3 linked regions of the Neodiprion lecontei genome follow. Each later gene encodes a partner of the first gene's protein in a complex. Links are inferred from orthologs where the notes say so. Each region holds a gene or a part of one and is shown in the gene's direction. Other genes may lie near its edges.

What was found.
Region 2: exportin-1 (region 1) and exportin-5 share a complex: the UniProt entries of both Homo sapiens proteins name them as parts of the nuclear export receptor complex. The link is inferred for Neodiprion lecontei from reciprocal best matches to the Homo sapiens genes XPO1 and XPO5.
Region 3: the proteins of exportin-1 (region 1) and ran GTPase-activating protein 1 are in contact, whole or in part, in a cryo-EM structure (PDB 9B62), measured with the Homo sapiens proteins. The link is inferred for Neodiprion lecontei from reciprocal best matches to the Homo sapiens genes XPO1 and RANGAP1. Residues at the interface, in NP_003391.1 of Homo sapiens: Lys245, Ser248, Thr249, Tyr252, Lys253, Glu281, Gln282, Val284, Thr285, Leu289, Met292, Gln293, Gln296, Arg340, Asn342, Leu343, Lys514, Val518, Ile521, Lys522, Leu525, Glu529, Arg532, Lys534, Lys537, Ala538, Ala541, Met545, Phe554, His558; in NP_001265580.1 of Homo sapiens: Ala2, Asp5, Ile6, Leu9, Ala10, Thr12, Leu13, Ala14, Thr16, Gln17, Val18, Ala19, Gln22, Leu23, Ser24, Phe25, Lys28, Glu44, Arg55, Ala561, Thr564, Lys565, Pro566, Ser568, Glu571, Ser572, Ser574, Phe575, Arg577, His578.

The regions. Positions count from the first base shown.
Region 1 is NC_060262.1:35,772,467-35,778,079, reverse strand, and holds the start of exportin-1, read left to right. Parts: upstream 1-2,272; 5' UTR 2,273-2,409; intron 2,410-2,426; exon of another isoform or gene 2,427-2,677; intron 2,678-4,204; 5' UTR 4,205-4,241; coding exon 4,242-4,439; intron 4,440-5,206; coding exon 5,207-5,401; intron 5,402-5,492; coding exon 5,493-5,613. Other genes in the region: rab3 GTPase-activating protein non-catalytic subunit, read right to left, coding at 1-173, 289-415, 497-578, 1,468-1,578, 1,703-1,787. UniProt on the Homo sapiens protein: Mediates the nuclear export of cellular proteins (cargos) bearing a leucine-rich nuclear export signal (NES) and of RNAs.
Region 2 is NC_060265.1:3,219,492-3,225,151, reverse strand, and holds the start of exportin-5, read left to right. Parts: upstream 1-2,508; 5' UTR 2,509-2,629; intron 2,630-2,649; exon of another isoform or gene 2,650-2,753; intron 2,754-3,854; 5' UTR 3,855-3,901; coding exon 3,902-4,588; intron 4,589-4,731; coding exon 4,732-5,040; intron 5,041-5,660. Other genes in the region: nucleoporin Nup37, read right to left, coding at 564-816, 899-1,266, 1,681-1,878, 1,963-2,112. UniProt on the Homo sapiens protein: Mediates the nuclear export of proteins bearing a double-stranded RNA binding domain (dsRBD) and double-stranded RNAs (cargos). XPO5 in the nucleus binds cooperatively to the RNA and to the GTPase Ran in its active GTP-bound form.
Region 3 is NC_060261.1:1,574,865-1,580,681, reverse strand, and holds ran GTPase-activating protein 1, read left to right. Parts: upstream 1-2,511; 5' UTR 2,512-2,689; coding exon 2,690-2,807; intron 2,808-3,041; coding exon 3,042-3,464; intron 3,465-3,567; coding exon 3,568-4,358; intron 4,359-4,458; coding exon 4,459-4,686; intron 4,687-4,794; coding exon 4,795-5,004; 3' UTR 5,005-5,083; downstream 5,084-5,817. Other genes in the region: 40S ribosomal protein S5, read left to right, coding at 469-834, 1,729-2,013; uncharacterized protein LOC107216960, read right to left, coding at 5,803-5,817. UniProt on the Homo sapiens protein: GTPase activator for RAN. Converts cytoplasmic GTP-bound RAN to GDP-bound RAN, which is essential for RAN-mediated nuclear import and export. Mediates dissociation of cargo from nuclear export complexes containing XPO1, RAN and RANBP2 after nuclear export.

The DNA.
Region 1 (5,613 bases):
AAGGTAGAAAACAGCGGAAACCCTTGCATTATGCAAACTGCACTGTTATACAGTACATGGACCTCTTCGGATAGTCCAGAATCTCCAACATGCCGGGAAGGAGAATGTGATTGACATTTGATTCCCAAAACTGCTTCATTGTGAAGCTGTTCGTCAATCAACAATGCACCAGTCTACAACAATTAATGATTTGGTACGTAATCTGAACAAAAATGACTTATTTGGCTTGTATTATACAAATTGGAAAAAATGCTCTAACATTTCTTTTCATGGATAATTCTGGTTTACCTCTGTATAGAACCTTATAAACCCACTAGAAAATCCAACGGCCATACAGGTCCAATCAGGACCGCTACCAGCACTGGTTTTGCCTAAAGATATAAGAGGTAGACATGCCAGACATGTTATCTGTTCACTGAAACAAAATAAAAGTTGTTGAATAACCCCAATCTGTGGTGGAATATCATTCTAGCCCAACGAAATTAGAAAAACTTACTTCTCCTCATCCGTTACATCTCCACTCCATGTAAGATGAAATTTCATTTTCACATCTCCAGGTTCATGCGAATCCCATTTTGCTGTATTGACAAACAGTGTGTGAAAAATTACAACGTTTACGGAATTAATTGTCGTTATTTGTATGAAATGAACTTTAATGCTTATAGTATAATACAGGCATATCAATCATTGGCTAGTATTAGAAAGATGTTAAAATTTTTGAATACTCAGTATTATTAAGTTTTCTACTATGCCGTGATGAAAAATTGAAAATATTTTAGGTCCAGTAATCGGCACCTTAATCTTGAATTTTAGACGTGATACTAGCAAGATAATGGTTGAAGATGGATCTAAAATTTATGAAGAACTTTACCGAGCTATTTGGCTTCGCAAATTGAATATATTCAGTTCACGTACTAACATTTTGTATATTCTTACTCTATTATTGCAAAAATATATATAGTATGACTTTGTGTCTCTTATGCTTACAAAATTTGTACTATTTAACGTTTTGTCGTTTGACACAGAATAAAGTTATATCTAGCCCAATTGTGGTGTGGAAACAGCTATGCATTTAAAAGGCTCTTGAAAGGCATTTTATTTTGCTTATACCTCTTTTTAATGTAGGGAAAAACTGTTCATATAAGCTCGTAAGCTAGAATGAGTTTGATAGGCTTATTCGAAAACATCACCGCTACTCTATTTGAGCTCTGCGATATAAGCTTGTCAAAAGCGGGGTAAGTTTTATTGAACTAGGAACTATCATCGATTCTGTGGATTTTATTTGTGTGTTTTTAAAAAGTTTATTTCGTATGAAGAATTCTGTGATTCTATCATCGGTAATAAATCAGATGCAGGTCGAGATGATTGTATCGCTCCTTTTGTTGTATAAGAAAGTCATCAAGAGGATGTTGTGGTGATAAGCAAAAACTTGTACTGTTGCTCAATGAGTTTTTGCTGTAAACTTACACGTCAGAATGACCATATTTTTATTCCAAGCAATTGCGAGGACATCCCCTGCTGGTGATAAGGAGATAATAAGATCTTGAAGAGGTAGTTCTTTATCCGGTACATAATCCACTGAAAGATTGGGTATAAATATGTAGATATAGATGGGTGTAACGTACATATTGTTTATTGGATAACCTTAGTGGTTACTGTTATTGATGACAGTTGAGATTTTAATTGAATGGGATTTTCTTACGTTTGGAGCCAGCATCTCTGAGTAAGGAATTCTTGACGTTGGGCAAATCGACCAAATTAGCGATTCCTTTGATTTGGCACGACATTTTCGTGCTGACACTTTATTATAAATATGTTGTTAAATGACTCTCATCTCGAATATGCATGAATATGCAGACTGTAGCGGAATAAAGTTTGATGGAAATTGACTGAAAAGTTAGTAGAATTGTCAGATCATATGACACGATGTTTCTGAGAATGCTAGTATATATTGCGGAATTTCAAATAACGCGTTCTAAGTTCCTTAAAAGAGAGGATAGATGCAGCGTACATTATGTCCGGATAAATTTTGGCGCGCGCCGAATAGAAATAAATACAATTTCGAAATATGATACACTTAAAAACAGAATCCTTCCGTAAATTTTTATTACAAGGTAAAAATGAGCACACGTGTTTCCGTGACGTCATGTGACGTCCACTGACGTCATACTAAACTATCGTTTATGCGATTGAGGATTGGTCGAAATTGGTGTAGCCTACCAATGGTGAACGTTGTTTCTCCGCATTTGTCGCGTAAAATTTTCGGCCATCTTGTTATTATTTTCGAAAATCTTTAGGTTGGGTTTCGCGACGACATAGTTGACGGGTTTGCTCGTATTATCGGTGGAAAAAATCACATGAAATTCGCATGAAACCTGGGGAAAGTAGGTTTGACGTACATCGGCCTCGGTGGGTATATTATTTTAGTGTATTTGATTCTGATAGTGGAAGAGAGAGAAAGTAGAGAGTTGGAGAAATGAGTGAGAAAGAGCGAAACTGCGAGTGTGTGGAACGAGGAGCGAGAAGTGTGTAGCGCGCGGGAATCGTCGACTTGTGTGTTTAGCCCTTTTGTGCTTGTGGTTAATTACTCTGAAACGTAACGACTGGCGAGAGAAAGAAAATAAAACGTCCTTTTTTTTACCCCGGGGACGGGAAGCTGTATGAAAGAGTTTATACGGTAGGTCAAAACCTTCAATCTCAAATCACCTTCGCCCAACGGGCAACGACGCAATGGAAAAACGGCAGCCGGGCTTCCTGGACGACCGAATTTACACTATTTAACCTAACTCCGGTAGTCGTCGTCGAGTCTCATTATGTTAGTATCGTTTCCTCTACTCATCCGATTCCACTCTAAATATTACACTATATTTCAAAATCCGAAATTCACATAACCTTGTTTGCGATTGTCAGATGTAGGTTAGGTCGGTTGTTCGGTCGGTCGCAGTGCGGTGACCTCCCCTGCGGCACGCTTCCTAGCATTTTTGGTTTTTTCCGTTTTTTCGGCACGTGGAGGAATCGGGCTCCTTGAATTCTCAACATTTGTTCGGAAAATTTATTTATCCCCAAATTAATCATGGCACATGATCCCCCCTCCCCTCCCTCCCCTTCCCAACTCTCTTCTGAATAGACAAAGTATACATCAAGCACCATCCCATTATGTATGGCATGAAGTTTAGAATAATGGATGCATCTTTTTTGAAGGTTCTTTGAGATTCAGATTTCAGAATTTCAGTGACTTTTTGGGCATGTTTCCTTAGCAAGATCAATTTCGATGCTATCGGTATCAAAAATTGGATGGAAACTAGGTGCACCAAGCATCGTACTTACAAATTTTTAAATCTTGTATCAGTAAATGAAAATGTTCTTAGATTGAGAGTTGTTGCGTTGAAATTTAATCTAAAAACAAGTAATGTATTGTCCTCATTGAATAAACAAACATACGTGATTACACATGTCGGGGCATGTGCTTAAACTTTGATATCTAATTTTAATTAATCATTGAGAAATCAATTCGAAAGTTAATGATGTTTTCATTATTTTTCTTTTGCTTATTTTGTTCTTAAGCACTTTGGAATCTTTCCATGTAGTCTCATATTTCAATATTATTGAAATTGTAATGATTGAACCGCAAGTGCATCATACTTCATGGCAAATATTGATCAGTTATCAAATTTGCTAACAAACGCTGTTTAAGTGCACACCGAAACAACTTGGGAACAACGTATTCTATAGCGGTCAATGAACATTTTTACATTGTAATTTTTGTTTATTTATTCTATCAAGCTGAAATTACGTTGTCAGACCATATGCTTCCGGATTTATCATAATTCGCAAATTTTCACATATATTCTAAAACCTGAGTTTTTGTGTCTTTCTACACTGCACGAGCTATGCTTAAAAATTATGTTAGGTAAAAAGAAACTCGAAAAAATTAGTCCCTCAGTTGGGCACTTTGTTTTTAGGTACCCATATGTAAATAAGATTGCCTAGGAAATATTGTTTGTTTAGAATGTTATGATTATAAGTTATCAGTATTCATTAAAATTTAGTTACCACAATTCTACTGTTTACATGCAACTGTTAGTCTCTATTTGATCAGCAGCAACCTCTAAACTAAAATATTTACTAGAGTCGTAGTGCAGGCTCATCACTGTTGACGCATTACAAGTAACAATGCAAATAATGATATTTTTTTTGTGTGCAGATTGAGTGTGTGAAAGCAAGGGTAATAAGTGAGTGCAATGGCGACACTTGCAGAGCAAGCGTCCAAGTTATTGGACTTCAACCAAAAGCTGGACATCACGCTCCTGGATAATATAGTCGGATGCATGTATACTGGGGTTGGTGAACAACAGCGTGTTGCTCAGGAAGTGCTAACCACCCTCAAAGAACATCCAGATGCGTGGACACGAGTTGACACCATCTTAGAATACTCACAGGTGAGTTATGCCAATTGTAGAGAAAACTTTGACCATTGAATGAAAAGTGTGAAAATCTTTTTATTCAAGTAATCATTTCATAATCAACAGCCGTCAATGTAGAGAGACATGGTCATGCCTTCCACTAGCATCACCATAAATGATTTGGTTAATTCTGTAACTCTTAGCTGAAAGTTATTCACACCAAATTTAGCACCGTTGCCTTTTTGGTCTATTTGACATCAATTACCAAATAAAAATAATTCCCTTCAATTTTTCATTGTATTGCAACAAAGAAAAATATCAAATTATTATAGTTAGCCATTTAAGTTGGTGATTTCGAAAATTTAAAATTGATTGCGAAATTCTATAGACCAGAAAGTAAGAAGAGTATCAATTTATTTTTTTTGGATAGTTGGAATTTATTTTAGACAAAGAAAAAAGTTCAGCTGCACAGAATTAATAGTTCTCACTAAAGTTAACATTTTGGAATAAGTAAACTTCAGAATAAAAGTGGAAACCTTCAGCATCTAATTTTTTTCAGTGGTTCTAACAATTTGTATAAAATTTCAATCTTGAAACAGTTGAATCAAGATAGAATTAAATTACGAGTTCTGAAAAACCTCAAAACTCTGAAAGTTTAGTATGATCATGTCAATTTCACAGTGATTTAAAAAAAAAAAATGGTCATTATGATGTTCATTTTTCTCTCCGAAATAAAGAATCTTGAATGAACAGAGTATGTGAATGAAACAGGAATGCGTCTAACTTTTTCATTAATTCTTTAGAATCAACAAACAAAGTACTACGCACTACAGATCTTAGAGCAGGTTATCAAGACACGGTGGAAAGTTCTACCAAGGAATCAATGTGAGGGTATTAAAAAGTATATTGTCGGGTTGATCATCAAAACTAGTAGCGACCTGGAAACAATGGAGGCCTCTAAGGTCTACTTAAACAAGCTGAATATGATCCTTGTGCAGGTAATAATTGAAAAAAAATAAAATAAAAGAAAACTGTTTTCTTTGCGGGAATACTTATTATCACTATTTAACACGTGATGCTGATGTTTAGGTTCTAAAACGAGAATGGCCAAAGAACTGGGAATCCTTCATAGGTGACATTGTGGGTGCCAGTAAAACCAACGAAAGCTTATGTCAGAATAATATGGCTATTCTGAAACTTCTCAGCGAAG
Region 2 (5,660 bases), on another chromosome or scaffold:
GCAAAATCAGAAGTCGACTTATGTTCAGTGTAAATTTGTATTCGAAAAATATGGTACAATTGCGCTTACTACCTGTTTTGTTTTGTAAAAAACAAATCAACAAGGTACAAGCATCCTGAATGTTACTTTCAGCTTTATTGTTATGGTAGGTGTAATTTTTCACGTTCAGGTGTAGGTATTTACTCTGAGCATATAAATGTAAATATTATGGAACAAACTCCGTTAATCACACGACATATTTCATCATGTATCTCATATTACGCATATTGGATTCACCCACCCACTAATCTTGGGTATATTCTGAAAAATTCAGAAACCGTCGTTGATCCACCCTGTCATCCATCCTTTGGCATAGATTGTCATCCTGACATCTTTTGCAATGTTCTGTCACTTTTTTTTAATTACATTTTATATATAATTTTTAAAAAATAACGTGAAACTCGACACTTTTTTTCCCTGAATATCATCAGTTCCTCCAGCTACTTTATGTCAATTTGCAAGTCACCATCATGTAGAGAATCCGCAATTTTAACTTCCAACAGATGATTGGTGTGTCCAGCAAGTTACTTCAGATTCAATTTCCAAAAACAGAGATCTCTGTCATTGCCTGCGCAGATGAAGGGTAACTTATGATGCCAGCTCATTCCGCCGACGAGCTTCAAGCGACTGGTAAGAACTACTTGTTTGGATTTCAAATTTATCACTTTAAGTTCATTATCAGGCCTGCCAATGCTGGCAAGTAAATACTCGACAGCTGGATAAAACTTGATCATCTGGCCTCCTTCCACGTGCAAGGGTCGGGACTCCATAGGCCGGCTGAAAACGATGAGATATCTCTTAGTGAAAAACAAGTTTTAAAATTCGTAAAGAGTGAATTCATAAGCAGCAAGTATCGTACCTGGGTCTGGATACATCCCAAACTAGTAGCTCACCAGCCGCCATAGCTGCAACCTTCAGCGGATTTGCCCCCCAATCAGCAGACATAAGGGGTGTAACACCAGTGTCAAGAGACAATATCGCCTGCTGGCTTATAATGTTGTACATTCGTATTGATCCATTTTTTTCAGCTACTAACAACTTGCCAGTTTCTTCTTTGTGCCAGCATACAGACATGCCTGGAGATGTTAGATAAAATGTAATATTACATCTTTTTTCCTCTTTGGTGTCCCACAATTTACAGGTATGATCGTCGGAGACTGAGGCCAGAATATCACCTTCCAGCTCGTAGGAGATCGAATTGATGTAATCTGTGTGCCCATCTAGAACCTATCAGTTACAACTTTGCTTAACTATGAGTAACCTAAACGGAAAATCTGATTTAGGTAGTAGTCTGTATTTATGTGGTTTTTTCTTTTTTTGTTGCATTTTCAGCCAGGATAACTATATGTGAATCATGCACTAGCTACGCTGAAGGTGAGAAGTCTGTAGCATAGTCTCTACTTCGTGAGTTGGTGTGGCTGTGTTTTTTTTCCAACTTTAGCAATAGCAGAAAAAGGGCTGCAATCATTTAAACTTATCTAAATCGTATTGTATAAAAAAAAAAATTCCCATTTTGACCAATTCCGTGTTACACACTAAGCCAACAGCAAGTCTGAACAATTAATTTTTCTTCTCACGCTCACGTAACTGGAGAGAGGAATGGCAAAACAAAGATAAATAAATACCAACAATGCGACTCACTTGATATGTATTGATGTCGTTTAAATTACTATTGTACAACCGTATCTTAAAATCTGCCCCAGCAACACAGAAGACTACGACCTTTGGTACAACACTCAGGGAGGTTTCTGGACTCCAGGAAAGCGCATCTGCTCTCGTTTCGTGATGAAACGTTCGAATTGGACAGTAATCGATGTCTTCAACATCGTCGTCCTCATCCTGCGTATTAGAAAAATGAAATCATACAGCAATGGAATTGATAAGGGCTCGGCTCTGTGCAGCCATGGTAATACGAATCTGTACCTGGAACTTTACAATCCCGATAGTAATCTTGCCGGTGAGAGCAATACAAATCAAACGTTGCGACCATTCATAGGGTGACAACTCGACGCAATAAATCTGCTCGGAAAAGTTCAGCTTATAGGTGGGTGGTGTTACGATAGCTTCGTCCATTACCGCTGTAACACTGCGCTATTCTGTACCGAATGTTTGTCACAAATCACACGCAATAATTCCTCAGACAAGGCGAGACGGTTTGCTCTATCGTTTGACGCGAGCTACGGCGTGACGCGTATTTACGAGGTTATGCCTCTCACGCGGGCTTTCAGGTACGTTGGGGTAGGTTAGATTAGGTTAGGTTGGGTCAGACGCAGCCTCGTGGAGCCAAGAGACAAGCCGAATAAGGTCAGCTCAAAGTACATTGGTTTATATTATCCTCCCATTTGCAGATCTCAGATGTAAATCGCCGTGAACGTAGAAGGACGACACGGCACAACGTTCTGTGTACTTGCGGATAATCCAGCTGAAAACCAAACTAACCTAACCCTACCTTTTCGTTCGGCGTAATCCCAGCGGGGTGTTATGTCGGTGATTTAAAATTGAAACTTCACAGCTCGCCCGTAGGGGGCACCACATGCGAGTACGCATCGTCCAGCCGTTAGCGAGCCGCATCGCGGAACGATCATTTGGGGTAATTATCAATTTTTTCTCAATAGTAATGTTATTCGTGATTTGGACTGTTATCCTGTCTTGTTCATCGGAGTGCGAGAGGAATTCTTGAACTTAGCTTGCCGAAAACGCGCACGACATTTCAGGTAATATTCATTGTTTCCTGGTACCTGTCAAGGCATGGTCGGCGGCGTGTGTATCGTGCGTGTTCTCTGTAGACGATCGTTCTTACCAATTTAGCCAGATTTATCTGAAATTTGCATTATAGACTCTTCGACCCGCGTTGACTATTTTTTTTTTCAAACGGCGAGGAAGCCAAAAATTTTCCACCGATCAAATTCATGATATCTTCGAATGTACATATAGAATATTTGTGTACATATGATATCAGCATCAACGAAGTCATGAGTCAGTTGTTAACGCGGGTTGGAAGTAACAGCATGTGTGTCTTTTACTTTGTGTGAACGTAAAAACGGATTCATACTTTAGTAAATATGAAACAGAAACATATAGTTGCAAGTTTTATTGCCCAGTATGCATGAAGTGAATACGAGTAAAATTGAACCACTCGAATGAGCAATGAAATTTAATTTGAGCGTCAAGTCATAAGTATGTAGGTTCAACTCGTTGAGTGTGTTTCAGGAAATTTAACAGCATTGTGAATTAAATTAGTTTACTAAGGTATGAAAGGTAAATAAATATCACCTTGATCGCTATTGCCATGTAATTTATACAGCAAAATCTTGCTAATCCAAGCCGTTGTGTACTCATCCTAGCTCAAATAATCAAAACATTCGGATAGCAGGAAATAAAGAAATAATACATTTTTAAGAAATGTTAAATATTAATGACGATTTTCTCTATTAACAAACAGACATGTGTGTTTAAATTAAATCAAAAACATTAAACAATGACTATAAATACAAACAAATACACACGTCTTCGGAAAGAACGCATTACAAAAATAAAGTTCAACTGCAATAGACTTATATATTTATTAGCACTTAGAAACAGCAGATATTCGTGTCTGTCGCCGATGAGACGAACTCGAATAATCGCGAAACTAGATGACGTAGACTTCGATAAATGAGGTTCCACTCTATTCTTGAGAATTGACCTATTTATTTAGATAAGTCAGAAGTAATTGCGAGCAAACAATGGAGCATTAGAAATTTAGAGTGATTGTTGCATCATTTCATGCAACTGCTTGTAAAGCTATTGAGGTATCACAGGTATGTTCTTTACAGTAGCAGGCAAGTAAGTAGCTGGCCTTTGGTGCTTTAACCAAGGAGGTATGGACGCGGGCGTGGGGGATGTTGCCCAGATATCGGCTGAATTAGCTCAAGTCGTCGAGGTGATGATGTCACCTGGCATACCACACGAACAGCGCCTCGAAGCCTACGCGGCATGTGAACGTTTCAAAGAATCATCTCCCCTGTGCGCCCAGTGTGGCCTATTCCTTGCTCAGAAATATGTAAACAGCAGTTCGGTCGTGCGACATTTTGGGCTACAGCTGATGGAACACTGTGTGAAATACCGGTGGACCCAGATGTCACAGCCCGAAAAGTTATTTATCAAAGAGAATGCCATGAAATTACTGCAAGACGGTACGGAACCGTTTATGCAAGAAGAAACGCACATAAAAGATGCCTTATCCCGCGTGATTGTGGAAATGATCAAACGGGAATGGCCGCAGCAGTGGCCGACACTTTTGGCTGAGCTCAGCCATGCCTGTACCAGAGGCGAAAGCCAAACAGAACTGGTACTGCTGGTGTTTTTGAGACTGGTTGAGGATGTTGCTCTACTGCAAACATTGGAGTCAAACCAGAGAAGAAAAGATATATATCAGGCATTGACAACCAACATGGCAGAAATATTTACCTTCTTCTTAAGACTGATCGAACAACATTTTACAAAGTTCCAAGAAGCAAACAGCTTGGGCCATGTAAATGAAGCTACCGCCCATGGAAAAGTTGTCCAGGTAACTAAACTGATACAAACCAGTTTCACTTTTCTGAGGTTGAGTCATTTCTCAAACGTACCCTTGCGTCATTTTCGGAATTCGCGTGTTCTTGGCAAAAAGCAACAAATAAAAGTTGTTTTATCACTTCATTGTGTTTTCAGGTTGTTCTGCTTACCTTGACCGGATTTGTGGAATGGGTGTCGATAGCTCACGTGATGGCAGAAGATGGTCGGTTATTGCAAATCCTTTGTGTACTGCTCGGCAACCCAACATTCCAATGCCCAGCTGCAGAGTGTCTGTTGCAGATTGTTAATCGCAAGGGTAAAGCGGAAGACAGGAAGCAATTGATGATTCTTTATTCTGAAGAGGCTTTGCGATGCATTTACAGTGCTGCGACAATGCCTGCGCCTCCATCAGGACCAAATAACTCGGAGGAGAATTATTATTTGTTCTTAAAAAAACTGATTCAGGTACGTGACTGACTAAATGATAATAAATGCAAGTAATTGCACTGACCCGCATCTGTATCCTTGCACCAGTGCAACTCTATTACACACTTGTACTATATTCTAATCGCATATAGGGTCATTTATTCGTTCCTGTTCAAATTCTGTTATAAAATTTTGAAAAAAATAATGAGTGTTTTAGGACTGGAAAAAGAATTTTAAAAAATCAGTAGTCATTCAGAGATGCGAATACATGGATTGTAATAGATTTTAAACAGGTATTAAACTAGAAAACACAATTTCACAAAAACGAAAAAAAAATGCACTTCCACTCTGAATCTGGGTGAAATTGTTTTACTTTGAAAGCGGAATGTTTGTTTTCCTTAGTTTGCAAAAATCAATTAGGGTATTTTTGAGATGGGATTAAAAATTCATAGGTGACTACCGTGATTAAAAAAAGTTTCAAGGTTTTTTGGAAGGTTTTCAGAGATCGTACTAATGTAGGAAAAATCCTGAATGGTACTAAAAAATGTCACGATCAAACGTTAACTGAGTTTGCATGGAAAACCCCATATCTTTTAAATGGTGCAATTCAATCCCCTTGCCCGAGGTTTGTAGTCGATATAGATTCGTGCTTTGAAATG
Region 3 (5,817 bases), on another chromosome or scaffold:
CTCTGGCCACTCGGATCAGCGCCAAGACGGCTAAAAGTGTCATGGCCTTTTCCGGTTCACGCTTGCCGCAACGAAGACGTGAATAAAGGTGAGGGTATTTCGGGTAAGAATAAATGCTAATCTGAGTTCCGTTTTCGATTCATCGGAAAGCCAAAGACCCGCGTTGTGCAAGCGTGTTAAAAAATGTTTCGCTGGATGTGCCATTTAATCGTCTAAATACCGACAGGCGCCGCATGATCTTACCCAGTGAATCGCTCGAACCATGTGGTGTTTTTGATTTTCGTTAAATGTCGCGTGAGGGGCTTATTCGATTTATACTTTGAAGTTCCGAGAGAGTGAATACGACTTAGATACTGAATTATACGCCCTGGCCTGCGCAAGCACGTGCACAAGATTTAAGAATAAAACTGATTTTTCTAACCTGTTTTCTAATTATTTATAAAGCGACGTTCTCGTTTTAGGTGAACCATGGCGGATATAGAAACGTTCGACGATGTCGTAGTAACGAATTTGGAGGCTCTGCCGGTCGCTCTGTCCGCTGAGTTGCCAGAGATCAAATTGTTCGGTCGGTGGAACTGCGATGACGTTCAGGTCAGCGACATGTCCCTTCAGGATTACATTGCGGTCAAAGAAAAGAACGCAAAGTACCTGCCACATTCTGCCGGTCGATACGCTGCCAAACGTTTTCGCAAGGCGCAATGCCCCATTGTTGAGCGGTTGACCAATTCTTTAATGATGCATGGTAGGAACAATGGAAAGAAACTCATGGCTGTCAGAATCGTCAAGCACGCCTTTGAGATCATCCATCTACTCACAGGCGAAAATCCTCTGCAGGTAATATTCATTTCACATTCATCATTCTAATTAATATGATTCAATAAATTGGAAAATCATTGGATGGGTAATTTTCTCAATCAAATATCAATATGGATAACTGACCCGCGATGCTGAAGCTGGCAGCAAAATGTTGTAATGTTATTCCGAATAAGGTAGCAAAGTTCGAAAATCAAAATTGAGTGAAATACCTTGAATCCCCGATACTATTATAGAATTATGCGATTAAAACCAACCTGCGGTTTTCTATTTTCCAAAAAACGTTCAACACATTTGCTTGCTAACTCTGGTTGCTAGATTCAGCTTCATAAATTATCGAATTAGCATTTTTCAAAGCTACAATTGGAGTTGACGCCGTTGGATTTGATCACATCAAAATCTGTAACTTGAAGCAAGTTGAAGCTGACCTTAAATCAAAGAATTATTGTTTCTTAATTTGAACTTGGTTTTTCAACACATATTCATGGGCTTGTGTTATTCCTATTGCTTTAAGTTGCATTGCTTAAACCTTAACTTTATAATTTTTTTCTTATTTTAAAAGTAGCACAAGTTTATGTCACACATTCCTGAATTATTTGACATGTAAACTGTGTACAACATATTTCTTAGTTGTCAATACATAACATTCAGAATTGAACATTCTCGGAGAAAATTAAATAATGATTGCTCAAACTAGTATGTATACAGTATTTCCAAATAGATGCTCAGCGAAGGATTTTCATTATATTAAATAATGTGGATTTAACGTTACTCTTGGACCAAAGATATCATTTCAACAATAATTTTGACAGCGCAGAGTCACTGCTGTAAAATAAAGAAACTATAATTTCAAGTGCAGCAAAGGCACATTAATTGTTTTTAAGTTTTATTTCATGCTTATCTATTAAACTTTAGGTTCTGGTGACTGCGATAATAAACTCTGGACCTCGTGAAGATTCAACCCGTATTGGTCGTGCGGGTACGGTGCGTCGTCAAGCGGTTGATGTGTCACCACTGCGACGTGTAAATCAGGCGATCTGGCTATTGTGCACGGGCGCGCGTGAAGCAGCTTTCCGAAACATCAAAACAATCGCGGAATGCTTAGCCGATGAGCTAATCAACGCAGCGAAGGGATCATCAAATTCATACGCCATCAAGAAGAAGGATGAACTTGAACGTGTCGCCAAATCCAACCGATAAAACGGCACTTACTTTATGCTGTTTGTGTCTATCAAATTTTTATTGAGTATCAGACACCTGCGGTTGTTTAATAAATAAATAAAAATCTCAAAAAATACAAGGTTCGATTATTTACATGAGTTACTATATCAATAAACGCTGTTCCCCAGCAATCGTAGACTAATCCAAACAATTAATAGCCAATACGTATAGAAGCTATTTGGATGATTCTTGGGAGTAAAAATCAAAACCCGTTATCAAGGATCAATTTTAAATTAAAACCGATTTTTCGGAATGTATGTACATTTGCTTGATTCGCGATCATTTCAAAAAAGGCCCCAGTTTTCGAAATTCTGCGACCGCTGAATATCGTGCGAATAGCTCACTTAGCTGGACGTAGTTAGTAAAAAAATCGCTTGTCGCTGATAGTCAAACAGATGCCCGGTCCCATATTTGCATAGAGTAGGCCATCTATGTGAGCACGTAGTCTCGGGACTAGATATAAAATCGACCCTGGGTCAGTTTCCCGCGAATTGGTATAAAAGTGGTTGTGGCTGGCGGCTTTGTTTTTGTCTAGTATTATTTCATCAGTATATGAAATAAAGTGTTATCCTTCTACTCTGTAACAGCACGATCTAAACTAGCTACTGATTTGTGGCGGTTCATTTGCTAGTGATTTAAAACTAACATCAACATCATGACCACGTTCAATCTAACCGAAATACAAGAACAGCTAAACAAAGCCAGTGAAAAAACTCCTGAAAGTGGTGTTTCGTTTAATGGAAAATCACTGAAATTAAACAGCGAAGCGGACGGTAAGTCGAACCCTCTTCATACTCAGCTTTAAACAAACCAATTATCGTTCACGTAAAAGTCCGCGTCATCCTCGATGCTCAACGTGCTGCTTCACATAACCAAACTTTTATCAGACGCCGGTTCTCTCAGCGAACTCTACCTACCCTTTTATCTACCCAAAATACCTCAATCACACCAAATTTGACCCATTTTTATTAAATAATCACATCTGCTCACTTTCTGTGTTTTTAAAGCTGAGGAAGTCGTCAAAGCAATTGAACAATGTCAGAAATTGGATTACCTCGACTTGGAAGGAAACACGCTTGGTCCCGATGCGGCCAAGGCAGTGGCAAAGGCTTTGGAAGCGAAGGGTTCTTCGCTCAAACGAGCCCTGTGGAAAGACATGTTCACAGGGCGGATGAAGACTGAGATTCCTCTTGCCCTGGAATATCTAGGTACAGGACTATGTGCAGCCCAAACTCGCCTTGTCGAGCTTGATCTCAGTGACAATGCGTTTGGCCCTGTCGGCGTTAAGGGGTTGGCCACGCTACTCAGCTCTAGCGCATGTTTCACTCTACGTGAACTCAAACTGAACAACAATGGACTTGGAATAACGGGAGGAAAAATGCTAGCCAAAGCTCTTCTAAATTGTCATGAAAATAGTTCTAAGGAAAACGGTAATAATGTTTGGCACTTCGGTGTTTTACATTTATATAAAAGTTGATTTAAAATTTATCTCACTTGCTTACAGTGAATTGTGATTTTTTTTGTTTGCTTAAGTAGGAACAGCACCATTGGCCTTGCGAGTCTTCATTGCTGGACGAAACAGACTAGAAAATGATGGAGCTGCAGCACTGGCTGAGGTGTTCACAAAGCTGACTACCCTGGAAGAGATATCGATGCCACAAAATGGGATTTACCACAAAGGGATAGCTGCTCTAGCACAAGCGCTCTCCGTCAATCCAAGATTGAAGATTTTAAACCTCAACGATAACACAGTTGGGCCAGAGGGAGCACGAGCTCTAGCAAAATCCTTACCGAACTTGCCAGACCTGGAAAAACTTAATCTTGGAGATTGTTTGCTCAAAACACGGGGAGCCTCAGTGCTGGCTGAAGCACTAGCCAACGAAGGCGCACACCGCAATCTGATGGAATTGAATTTGAGCTTTAACGAAATAGGCGCGGCTAGTATCGATGCAATAGTAGCGGCCGTTGCGGATAAGCAGGAATTGACGAGCTTAGTACTTGATGGCAACGTTTTTGGTAGCAAAGGAAGAGAAAACTTAGAAGGAGCACTTATTGCTTCGCAAAAACTATCGGTTCTTGGGAGTCTTGAGGAGAATGAATCTGAAAGCGAAGGCGATAGCGAAAGTGGAGAGGAAACTGAAAGTGAGGACAGCGACGATGAAAACAAGACTTCTGAAGTAGAAAAGGAAGACGATCAAGAGATATCAAAGATCGAAAAGGATAAACAGAACGTGACGGTTCAGGACTTTTTGAAAAATCCAACTGCTGAAAACCTTCTCCGACTTCAAGGCGACAAAATACAGTTGTTCTTGGAACACGCTAAGGTATGTGCATGCATCACATCCATATCACTATTTTTTCCATTTCTGTTCAGTTCTTCGCGATTTTTTTTTAAAACTTTAAAATCATTCTGTAAATTTTCAGAGTCAGTCTGTAAACGGACACGAATCTCAAAAAGAAACATATGCTGAAGTGCTTATTAGATCTATAATGAAGGTTTCTTCGTTGTGTGCTAGCGGCTATATGGATGCCAGAATAGAGGCAGAACGAGTGACAGACGGGCTTTACATGGAATTGTTTGCATATGCGACAAAAACTGACCAAGTTTCCCAACTAAACAATGTTTTTCTGATTAATTTGGGCTTGATTAAGGTATTTCATATAATATGTGATATAGCAGATATTTTTTGATGTAGAAGAGAAGAAAAATACTTGGTAAATGGATCCAAAATTTAATACAATAATTTAATTAAATTTCAGAGTGAGGATAAAACTGCTGGTAGAATTGATTGGAATCTCGAGGGATGCTTTAAAGCATTGGAGAAAATAAGCACCAAGGATTATTTTCTAACAGAGACTAGGAATGCCCTAAAAGTATTCATTGAACTACCAATAAAAACTGGAAAAGTCAGGGTAGACCCATTTCAGAACGTTAAGGCTTCTCTCAAGAAGGTTCTCGACCAAATATGATTGAATTAAATTAGTCTGATGGCGGAATGATTCATATATTTCCTGTACAAAACATTAAATATTTATTAATAATTCGTAAGAATTTATTTTTATACATTAGGCATTGTGGTTTTATGGTAATAGGCACGCGGTTGATTATCAGTGAACCAGTGGTGAGAGATGGTAGCGATAATACGCCGCGAAATCAATAATTAATTTATATAGCAATGTGCCCTAATGTACTGAATTTTGGCAGCAGATTTTTATGCTGAATGCGACGTCAAAAATACGTATGTTTTAATTTAACAATTTTAATTGTCATTCAATTTAAATTTAAAATACAAGCTTTCAGCCTCATTGCATGACTGTAACACTATTTTTTTAAACGGATATTAACGATTTTACAGATTAAAACATGTAAGAAACAAAGAAATTTTTCAATTGCTCAATTCGTCGTGATATCGGCATTTGTAACATGATACTACAACTTATTTGGGTAAAAAAAAGTGTTTTGGCTTATTGTTGAACTACGACATTTCCTACTATGTTAATTTATTCCGACTACAAGCTTTAAAATTCAAAAAGAATTATACTGCACAATATTCTTTTTTCTCAGAAAGTCCAAAAATGAACATGGATGAGGATTAATTAATTACATTTTGGTCATTTATCACTACTGAAATATATTTATATTATCTATATCTGAACACAGTGAAATCACATCACATTTTCTCATCGTACTCTATTGTATAAAAATAGTATGTGTAAATTTCTTTTCCTTAAAACTGAACATCTAATTGAGCTTGGATAGAATTAATATCAAAGGTAAACATG